Nothobranchius furzeri: one gene and its partners. The protein of the gene in region 2 purifies or fractionates together with the protein of the main gene of each other region. This does not show direct contact. Links are inferred from orthologs where the notes say so. Each region holds a gene or a part of one and is shown on either strand. Other genes may lie near its edges. The genes, in order: larp1, ybx1 and nuclear cap-binding protein subunit 1.

Region 1 (3,652 bases), on a different chromosome or scaffold from region 2:
AGACTCAATGGAGTTAGCTGCAGCAGGACAAATGGACCCAACATTACTCAAACGTTTATCAGCGTGTTTTGTGTCAATATGACCAAATCTGTTGTAGAATGCAACCAGATGCTTGTTAAATACACAGCGATGTGTATAGAGGTCACGCTGCTTCAGCTTTAGCCCACGCCTCCACGCCAACCATGACGCCTACCTGCATGTCTTTAGTCGCTATCTCTCCTGGGGTCGGCCAACTGTTGGTGTCACCAAAATCTCCCACCTGAACAGAAATGGGATTAAAAAAACATACGTAAAGAAAATAAAAGAGGTGAAGGATTTATTCTAATGTGTTAAAAGGAAACTTAACTCTTTTGAACAATTACTTTCTCTTTCTAATGGGGAAGAAAAAAAACATTTGAGGCTGTTTGAGTACTGACTGGGTCATTTCCATTAAAAAATTTTAAAATAAAAATTATTCACTAATTTGTAATAAATTGGAAGAGTCACTTCCTGAAATTTGAAGACGTTGATCCTGATCGTGACATTTAGTCATAAATTTACTAAATCAGAAAGATGCTTTTGGGATTTGGAAGCTGGAGTCATGGGTTGAGTTCTGTTAAGGAAAACTGTTGGTCTAACGGTTGTTGGTTGAAAACAATTATCAATCCAAATCTGCCCCTCAGCAAAAGTACCACAGATGTACCAAACACTCCCTAATTACTTCACTATGACTCTGGATTAAAGAAACAAACACTAACCCGGGCTTTCCACCGGATGAAAAATGTGCCACAACCTCTGTGGAGTGTTCGAGAGTCAAATGTGTTTCACACAGCTGGTCCAGCGAGGTCACGAAATTGCCCAATAAATTCAAGACCACGCGTGATTTTGTCAGTTCTCGCAATAATGAGCAGTGAAGACAGCTGCATGAATCCAAAAGGTGTGTAGATGTGTGTGTAGCCAAATGTTTTACACCGCTCCCATGTTTGACTTCCTGTCTGGCCCGATCTGAACCGCTGAGTTTGACGTGTTCTGGAAGCATAAACCTGGTGTGTAAAGCCTAGTTTATGCTTCTGCGTCGGTGCGGAGACACGCAACGCCAATATGTGTCCTTGCACGGGTTCTCCAGCAGGCTCGCAAGGACGGAGGGAGTCGTGCCCATTTTTCTAATCATCTGTCCAACGAGACAGAAAACGCAAGCTTGTGATTGGTCAGGACGCCACTTTCGCCAACAGCACCGCCAATGTGCCCTCAAAAGCATAAAGAGAGCTAAAGATATCTAGCGACAGATAGGGCCGTGCAATCTGACGATATAAGACCATTAAGGATTATATAGTGATGACGATCCACCAAAGCTGGGAAATTGTGTGTCATTATTTGTGGATTCATCTACCAACACATTTTTTCTCAGCCGAGTCGTGCTATTTGCTAGTGTGCTTCTGTCAACACGACAGGCACACCAGCGCAAGTTTAAGGCAGTGTGTTGTTATGTTTAGCTGGGGTGCTCGGTAGAGCTGAGGAAAATAATCTAACAATGGAATGGATGCATTAAGATGCGAACATTAACGATTATGAATCTTTGAAGAAGCACACCATACTATATAATAGCGGCTATCTGCTAGCATTAGCCACTAGCTCAAAAGTCTGCTCGATCAGGGAACCTCTGGGCCAATGTTCTGCTCTAAATGCTGCATTTAGCTTTCTGACTTTTATTATTCTGAGTCGTTTGTGTGTGTTTTAACGAGCCTTTTCACAGCGGATGCCAACCGGAACATTGTGCAAACCCTCTCCCCCGCATAATCAGGAAACAGCTACGGAGAGCAGTGAGGGACACATAGAAGACAACAGTGAGTGTAATCCTGACTAAAGAATGCATGAGATGATAATGCATCATGAATTTAGCTTAACAAGAGATTTTTTTTCTCTGAACAAAAAATATTTACTGGTAATATTGTGGATGATAGGATATGAGCCACCTCTAGATAAAAACTTAATTATTGCGCACCGCTGCTTGCCCAGGCGAAACACACCCACAGACAATAATGACGGCTACTAGCTGCGTATTGAGCTGTGCAGACATTACACAACGATTACGCATTTGGTGGAAAGCCGGGGTCATGACAGTAATGGGAGGTTTGAACATTTTAGAAATTTTTTGAGTGCAATGGTTGATGACAACTGGTTTTATTGGTTAGATAAATATCCAGCTACAACTTTTCTTACCGTTTTTAATATTTCAGCATAAAATAAAATTACACATCATCATTAAAATCATCTTATTCTAAGACTTTCTAACTGAAAGGCTTACCTTTCCTCCACGCCTGCCTTTGGGAGGATTCCCTGCTTTCACCACCTTGGCTGGACCAGTCAGTTCTGGTAGGAACAAAACAAAAACACAGACATTACCAAACTGCTAATAATAATAAATAATGTGCTTTAACTGAACGCTGCGCTGGGTCTTTTGAGGTGTAAACTCACATTACTGCCTTATTGGCCCGTTCATAACAGGGACACATTTGCCAAGAAGGATTAATTCAACTCTAAGAGTTTGGAAAACTGATGTGTCAAGTTTAAAGGAAATTAAAAAACTCCAGAAATTGGAGTGTCATTAGAAACCAATTCAGCAGGTGGTCACAGAGAAGTTCAAAAAGCTGTGTGGTTTACCCGACGTCTGAACTTTGGACTGTTTAATTTGAGGCATGGAGTTGAGAAACAGTTTAATAGGAATTAACTGACTCCTGATGTAACAGAGTTGCTTCACGTTGTTTGCTGGACTGCCGCCTGTCCTCCAGCAGTTTCTCTGGTGCTAAATTCTCAGAAGCTTCTTGCTTTAATGATGGAGAGCATCACCTCCCAGGATGAATGTAAGCCCCGAGCAGGTTTAGGTGTGGTGTCCCTGAGCGCTGCACCAAGATAACATGAAAATCTTTTAGCAGAACTGACGGTGTCCCTCAGGGCGCTTCATTAGTAGGGACTAGAGACGGGCAGCAAAAATAACATCTAACAAGGCTTTAGTTTGGTTCTAGACGCAACAAAAACTCTCTAAATCTGCCTTTTTTCACACGCATCACACCGAACATTTTACGTTAGCATGCCAAAGCATCATTAAAATCAGCCCAGCTCCAACAATAACACTAAGCTTGACATTAGAAGCTGGCTGACAACAGAATACGAAAAGTTTATTGAACTTTCAGAGAATTAATAAAACGGTATAGACATTTTTTATTATAATAAAGTCAAAGAGTCAAACTGGAGACATTTGCTTAGTACAGATACTTTTCCTTAAAATAAATGTATTTATCACATAGTTGAAAATAAACTTTTAAGACATTTGGAGAGATCTTTCATGATGAGATTTAAAATCAAATTAAAAATCCTCATGAGCCACAAAATGAGATTCATGTTTTCATGTTAAAATAATGTTATGATTTTTTTTATTTGTACTGACAAAAGGCCTAAATTAGACATATTAGTGAAAAGCTGAAGCTAGAAAACTAGACGTTCTAAGAATGAAAGCGGGGACGCACAAAATCCCCCCCAGGGCCGCAGACGGCCTCAGGCCTCGCTGCAGACATGATTGTTCCCCTGGAATTCCCTTAGTCTTTCTCCAAGAACAAGTTTCTTAATGTTCATACTTTAATATTTTAGGGTTTAAATGAGTACAATTTAAATATTT
Region 2 (3,752 bases):
ACAAACAAATCAAAGAAACTTACTTTTTCTCCCTCAACTACATCAAACTCCACAGTTTCTCCGTCCCCAACACTGCGAAGATATTTCCTTGGGTTGTTCTTTTTTATGGCCGTCTGAAATTACAAATAGTTTGAATGTCAAGTCTGCTTAACCACAAATTTCAATAAATGAATAAAAACTAAAGCAACAACTGACCTGGTGTACAAAAACATCTTCCTTTGTATCGTTCCTAGACAAAAGAACAGAATCTTAGTTAGCTGCATTCTGCTGAGCCTCTGCAAACAGACTTAAAACTAAGCCAGTGGGGATTAATTAAGTTCTGTGGGTTGCAACAGGATGGAGATGAGCAGAAAAATAATATGGTCAGCCAAGTACGCAAAGCATAACTTAATAGGATTAGCATGCTTCACTCTCACCCACACCCAGAAATGTACTTTGACACAGGGACCAACAGGTGACTCACCTATTGATGAAACCATATCCATTCCTGACGTTGAACCATTTGACTGTACCCAAGACTTTTGTTGCTGCAATCACAGTCAGAACAAGATTATTAAATACCATCGTCTGCCTGACATGCATTTAGAACAAATCCATATAGCTTAAGTGAAACTGAAACGCTTCCATCATGATGGGACACTTAACGAACTACATCAGAACTATAAAAACATTAAAAACTATGGCCACACATAACGTAGAGGTTATATTTAACCCGCAACTGTCACTCCTATTATAGACACTGATGCTTAGGAGACCCCAGGGCCAGCTGCTCCTAACATGAGCCACCAGTAAGAAAATATCCCAGTAACGATACAACAACTGTCCCAAATGACGCATCCAAAATGTCCCATAATGCATGACAAAGATGAGGATGCAAACAGCGACCAGTCTCTGCACTCGCATGTTTAGTTACTGCAGACCTGCTGCTCCATTTTAGGACGCAGAACCTGAAGGTTCACACGTGGTTGGGTCGCACCCGGATACGTTAACGAGCTGTGAGCTGTGCTCTGCTGGCTATTAGCATGGCTGTGTGGCTAAGGTTAGTACCATGTGGTTGGAGTAGAGCCAGCAAAGAGAAACAAACAAACGCGCATTACTAAACTACATTAATCCGTATTTATTGGTATATATGATAAAGATTTCGGTTTTGAATTAGTTTTTAGCGAACAAATTACAAAGCAGCGGGAAAAAACGGGAAAACACACGGCGGACATTTTGGACGGCCTCCCCTAAAGCCATGTAAATAGCCACTTAGCTGGCTAGGCTAATGTAGCTAGGTTAGCAACCGATGATCTATAGTAAAGTATTTAGGCCACACCGACAGCACGCAAATTCAACCAAAATAAGACCGCCATTGACGGATGTAGCTGGAGTCGCTAGCCAACAACGTTTCTTCTGACAATTTGGCCAAAAAAATCGGGACTGAACGCTTTGGAAAAGGAGAATATTTTAGATAAAATGCCTTGACATGGAATCAAGACTCTTTCGTGCGAACAAAGAGATGGTTAAGCAGCTAACGTTCGTAGCCACTGTAGTTATTTCACATGAACCGGTGTTATAGAGCATTTGGTAGGATTGTTCTGCAATTATTGGCGGTCCAGATGCAGTTATGCAGTTATTAAACCCTAGTCAAAACATCGTGGTTCTGGCAACGGTTGGAAGTGACAGCGAGCATCCATGTGATGACCGGCCGGATACACGCGACTCTCAAACGGATATTTGACGTGAGGAGGCCGATGAGCAATGGAGATAATCAGAATGGAATTCACGATTTAATCTGTGAATAAACCACTCAATTTTTAGAAACTAGACTAATAAAAACCGTTAGATTGAATTTTTTGGACCATTATAATAAGAATGCCCAAAGGAGTGAAGAATTTATCCGTCAACTGGCACTAACGTTTACCAACTGGAGCAAATTAATTTGACGTGGCTGAAATTCTCACGCAAGAACGGCAGCTTTTATTCAAATGCTACATCCACACCCAAGAGCGTATAAATTATAAATGATAACTCCGGCTCGGCTAGCCTAAGAATTCTTACCGATGACCTTCTTATCCCCCGCGGAAGCTGCGGGTGCCGGGCTGGATGGGCTCTCCGCATCCGCAGCAGGCTGTGGAGGTTGTTGCGTCTCGGCCTCGCTGCTCATGGTTACTACTCGTTGGTAATGGCTTCAGCCGGCGGCGGCTCTCTGATATTTTTCCCGGTGCTAGATGGTAACCTGGGCCGGCGGTGGTGGGGGCTACTGCCTTCGGGCTCTCAGCTTTCTTCTTTCCGCTCCCGTTGCCGATCGAACTGGGCAGAACAAGAGACAGTGCAGGGGAATGTTCCCAGGCGAAGACCCGCCCATCTCGTCTCCTGATTAGCTAAAATATGTAGAATTGAACAAATCTCCTTCCAATTGGCTATTGAGACTGTCAATCTTTTTTGAGCAAAGCCTTTGATGAAATTATTGGTCAAAAAGACGTACAGAAGTCTCAACGCCCCCAGTGACGTAAAAGCGAGAGAATTCTGCTTGTGACACTTCCGATAGTATTATGCATTTTGAATTATGTCATACAAAACTGTGAACCATACATGTGGTATGTTGCAAATGTGACAACTTTATGTTTAATTTATTTTGTCGTTTCTAGATAGTTGAAATAATTACTACTATTGTGATGTTTACCGTGGGAACATTCTAAGAAAAGACAAATAAACACCCCATAAATATTAGCAGGTAAAGACAAAGGTAACTGCAGAATCCACTCATATTATGTTCATGCACCACTGGCACCCTTTACAAGCACAGGCCAATGTGTGAAGCGCATGCGGTTAATCTCTCTCTCTCTCTCTCTCTCTCTCTCTCTCTCTCTCTCTCTCTCTCTCTCTCTCTCTCTCTCTCTCTCTCTCTCTCTCTCTCTCTCTCTCTCTCTCTCTCTCTCTCTCTCTCTCTCTCTCTCTCTCTCTCTCTCTCTCTCTCTCTCTCTCTCTCTCTCTCTCGGAGTTAGTGCTGCTAGATTAGACAGATTTTATGTCTCTGGTAAAAAAAAAAAACAGCTTGGGCATTTCGTGCAAGAGAGGGCCAAAGGGGCCTTGATCCGGGCTCGTTTCACCACATTACAGGACATGGATGCTCCAACATCCTTCTTTTTTAACCTGGAAAAGACTTTCAAACCAGAAAAAAACAAATGGTTGCTCTTCGTCTGTCAGATGGACAGTTATCCACAGACCCAGTGGAGATGAGGAAGTATGCAGGAGAATTCTATACCAGCCTATTTAAGGCCATGTGATGTGAACTGTGCCAGAGAGCTGTTGCAGGGGCTCCCTTCCTTGACCACAGCAGACCAAGACATCTTAAATGCAGACATAACCATGGAGGAGCTTACAACGGCAGTCTCCCAGATGGCTGCAGGAAAATCTCTGGGGATAGATGGCTTACCTGCTGACTTCTACAAATTCTACTGGAGCAGTATGGGACAGGACCTGATGGATGTTTTTAAAGACTCACTTCAGACAGGAGCACTTCCTGCATCGTGTAGGTGGGGCGTTCTGTCCCTGCTGCCGAAAAAGGGGACTTAACCCAACTAAAATACTGGAGACCAGTTTCCTTGTTATGTTCAGACAATAAGATTTTTTCTAAATTCTTATCAAACAGACTTTGGGGATTCATCGGAGGTCTAATCCCAGACGATCAGTCCTTTTGAATACCAGGAAAGTAATTAATGGACAATTTATTTTTAATGAGAGGCTACGGGCCTTTGGTTTTGGGG
Region 3 (3,752 bases), on a different chromosome or scaffold from region 2:
TTCTCCATCTTGAAGAAAGGATGTGAAAGCATTGCATTGATGTAAAGATCAGTGGCCACGTTGGTACCACCAACTGTCCCGTTGATGCCTTCTGCTGCTACCCTTACCTACAGAAGATGATTGACATTTTAACTACTTAAATGTTTCTTTAAAATCCTCTATTTTCTGATATGATGTGCTAGAGTCTAGCTGAAAGGGTTTTCTTACCTTGCCGGTTAGGTGAAGTGACTCACACAGAGCTTCCTGCCATGCACAGACAGCATGTGGATCGTCCACTTCACAGTAACAATAATAGAGCAGAACCTTCCCAGGACCACTTCATAAAAACAAGAAATAAACAATCTGCATATGTTGAAATCTGATCAAATCTATAAAGGGGATGGATATAGATATGTATATACTCCATTCTGTTTACTTTTTTAGTTCACCCTCAGGGATGTGGCTGATATCTGGTATCCACATTGAAATGTCCACTGCCTCCGTCTTTTTCCCTTTCAGCTGCTGTGTTTCTGTGTCTTTTTCCAGCTGGCTTAGCAAATGTTCATATGTGGCCTGCGTGAGCTGCTGTATACTAGAATTGTGAGTTTTGGCCACATGTTGGTGAATCTCAGCATGTTCGACGAAGGTCAGGCTACAGCAGCACCAAGATGTGCTTCCTTTTCCTGCACACTCCTTCTTCGATGCTACGAAGGCAGCAAATGACTGTGAAAAGGAAGAAGCACGAATGGCATTTAGTTTAAGTAAATGTGTGCAAAATTCTAAGTTTAATGTGGGATGAAGTTTGTCGCTGCAGGTTATTTTGTTTTTATTTTGATACCTAACATTTGTCAGACATGTAAACAGATAAAATAAATGCTGCATTTACAACTATTTAAATAAACCAGTATTTACATAATATAAGTTCAACTTTATTTATTGAGCGCTTTCACATGCCCAGGAGGACAAACAAAGCGCTGTACACCAATACAAAAACAGCATTCAAATCAGAAATACACAAAAAAGTATACATTATTATTATAACTTAGCTCATCATAAAGCCAACAAACGGTCATTGTTTTTTCCCCACCTTTCTTCTGCAGAAACTGTAGTATCTTCTTTGTGAGGCAGAAAGTTGTCTCTCCTGTTTTAATCCATTACTTGTCGAAAAATCAACATCCAAATTCATGAAGCAGCCGGTTTCAATCGCTTCCATCCTAACGAAGCTGTTAAACACTGCCAGTTAGTCGATTTTTTGTCTAAATTAAATACATTTTAAGACAGTGATCGTGCCTTGCTGTCCTAACATTTATTTGCTGCCATCTTACCAAACATAAACTCTCAAACACGGTGAGGAAAAAAAGGTCACAAACGTGTTTCCGACAATGTCGGACGAAATAGGAGGACGGACTTTTCATTTGACCTCGTGCTGCCCCGGAAGTTCTCCACTTGAATCATACCGCTGTTATTTTTCTGCGGTGGTTTCTGCGTTGCACAGGCTAAATTAACTAAGTATCAGCTAGTTCGTCCGACTTGCTGCTTCGTTTCATATCGGTTTTTTCTTTTGGTTGTCTTGTGTGGATTTTAAAGTGGCCTAATATGTCCCGGAGACGACACAGCGACGAGAATGACGGTAAATCGGCGGAGATTCAGTCACACTTTAGGCTAATAGGCTAACATTAGCGTGTTTTCCTTTCCTTCACCCATGTTGGTTATTTGTTTTGCTAATACACGTGGAGTTTTTGGATAGCTTCCATCAAAATTAAAAAGAGCAAACTCGTTATCAGCTGACATTTGTGCAAAACTAAACAGCGAAGCTGAATGAACAGCGTAAGACAACCGCCAATAACCTATGCTGTTACTGTTAGCTGATTGATGGCTAACTAAACTGATATGGAGGCGGTACCAATGAGTAAAAGATACACAACCTGATAATTGGATCATTTCTGGTAAGTTGTTAAAAGTGTAAAACTGAGTCGGAAATTAATCCTGACACGTCATGTGGTGAGCTAAACTGCTAACAAGCATCATTCTAGAGAAAATATTTGATTTCCAGTGTCTGTCCTATTGATTTTGTTAAAGCAGTGCGTATTCCATTTTTAAACGTTTCTCCCTTTTGCTTGTACAGAAATGTGTTCACAGTTGAACCCATGTATAATATGCAGATGCTGGTAATGGAAAACAAAACATGGAATGAGAAAAATCTTAAATAGTCATGTAACTGCCTAAAAGTATGTGTGAGCTTCAAGTGAATGTTTCAGAAACCTTCCATTGTTGTCAGTTTTATTTAAAGTCCCATTAGTCATCATCGCACACTGGTGAAATTACATCTCTGCATTTGACACATCCTTGTGGGCAGCAGCGAACTGCAGCGATGGCTGCACTTGGGAACTATTTGGTGGTTTAGTCCCCCAATGCAGTCCCTTAAAGCTGAGTGCAGGGAGATATTGGGTCCCATTTTTAAAGTCTTTGGTATGACCCAACCAGATTTGAACCCTGATTTCCTAGTCGCAGGGTGGAGACCCATACCACTAGGCCACTGAGAAGGTTTGTCAAGCAGATAATGTCTCATTGTCAGTATGTCCTCAACAGGTCAAAATAGCAAGGATTAAAAGCCTTGAACTTCACTCTGGAACAGAATAATTGCTAAAGTATTGACATTCTCCTTTTATAATGCTGCTAACAGATTAATTATCTAAAAAGGGGCTCATGTGTTGATGTGAGTTAGGAGAAGAAACTTTCTCATACTCCGTAAACTGTGTTAAAGGAATCAACTTTGATGTGTTGCTCATTCTTTTGCGCAAGTCTTTACGCCTTATCAAGACACTCACACACACACACTTGGCCTGTCATCTTCAATAGATAATACTGTTTTGAACATTAGGATTAGATGTTCTTGTCTACTGAACTAGAGTGAGTCTGAACTCGGACACTTGTCTGCCCCCTGATGCCATGCAAGGACACTGGGTTATGGTGTGGCGATGTCTGTGTCTGGTGACCTTAACAGAGGAATACCTTTATTGGGTTACAATGATGAAGTTGCTAAAAGGCACTGCTTCGATTAAAAAGTGTAAGCTTTTAAACATCAGCTTAATTTCTGTTAATCTAGGTGTTTCTTAGCACAACACAACCTTTATCAAATAAATATGCAAGTGTTTACATGTATTACTCATTTACGCAGATTCTGTTGGTGTTTTCTGTGGTGTCGGTCAGAGTTTATGAACATGTGTTGATTGTGTGACTCTTTTACCCACCAGGAGGTCAAGCTCACAAGAGGAGGAGAACTTCTGAACCTATTGAGATTGAAGATCGTCTGGAATCCCTGATATGTCGTGTTGGGGAGAAAGTAAGAGCAGACAGACAGAGAGATGCTCTGAAATCTCCATCACTTGACTCTGTTGTATTTTGTTATTAACAGAGTACATCATCCCTCGAGAGCAACTTGGAGGGCCTTGCGGGCGTCTTAGAGGCAGATCTTCCAAACTACAAAAACAAAATTCTGCGTATTTTATGTTCTGTGTATGTTTGTATAGGTTATTGCTTTCTGATTAATAAAGAGGCATTCAGAAGGCAGACTTTACTAAAGCACTGTGTGTCAACAGCGCCCGCCTGCTACCTGAGAAGCTTACCGTCTACACAACCTTGGTCGGCCTTCTCAACGCCAGGAACTACAACTTTGGAGGCGAGTTTGTGGAGGCCATGATCAGACAGCTGAAGGAGACCCTGAAAAACAACTTGTACAATGAAGCTGTTTACCTGGTAAAGCTGATTTTCAC

What was found.
Region 1: the proteins of ybx1 (region 2) and larp1 purify together in Homo sapiens (co-immunoprecipitation; 3 studies listed by BioGRID and IntAct, with this or other methods). This does not show direct contact. The link is inferred for Nothobranchius furzeri from reciprocal best matches to the Homo sapiens genes YBX1 and LARP1.
Region 3: the proteins of ybx1 (region 2) and nuclear cap-binding protein subunit 1 purify together in Homo sapiens (co-immunoprecipitation; 3 studies listed by BioGRID and IntAct, with this or other methods). This does not show direct contact. The link is inferred for Nothobranchius furzeri from reciprocal best matches to the Homo sapiens genes YBX1 and NCBP1.

The regions. Positions count from the first base shown.
Region 1 is NC_091750.1:54,227,368-54,231,019, reverse strand, and holds part of larp1 (la-related protein 1), read right to left. Parts: intron 2,350-3,652; coding exon 2,285-2,349; intron 260-2,284; coding exon 194-259; intron 1-193. UniProt on the Homo sapiens protein: RNA-binding protein that regulates the translation of specific target mRNA species downstream of the mTORC1 complex, in function of growth signals and nutrient availability.
Region 2 is NC_091755.1:32,516,092-32,519,843, forward strand, and holds the start of ybx1 (Y-box-binding protein 1), read right to left. Parts: upstream 2,327-3,752; 5' UTR 2,150-2,326; coding exon 2,044-2,149; intron 528-2,043; coding exon 464-527; intron 230-463; coding exon 196-229; intron 114-195; coding exon 24-113; intron 1-23. UniProt on the Homo sapiens protein: DNA- and RNA-binding protein involved in various processes, such as translational repression, RNA stabilization, mRNA splicing, DNA repair and transcription regulation.
Region 3 is NC_091741.1:71,548,175-71,551,926, reverse strand, and holds the start of nuclear cap-binding protein subunit 1, read left to right. Parts: upstream 1-1,437; 5' UTR 1,438-1,575; coding exon 1,576-1,609; intron 1,610-3,233; coding exon 3,234-3,322; intron 3,323-3,394; coding exon 3,395-3,495; intron 3,496-3,578; coding exon 3,579-3,735; intron 3,736-3,752. Other genes in the region: thiosulfate sulfurtransferase/rhodanese-like domain-containing protein 2, read right to left, coding at 1-107, 208-316, 416-702, 1,067-1,192. UniProt on the Homo sapiens protein: Component of the cap-binding complex (CBC), which binds cotranscriptionally to the 5'-cap of pre-mRNAs and is involved in various processes such as pre-mRNA splicing, translation regulation, nonsense-mediated mRNA decay, RNA-mediated gene silencing (RNAi) by microRNAs (miRNAs) and mRNA export.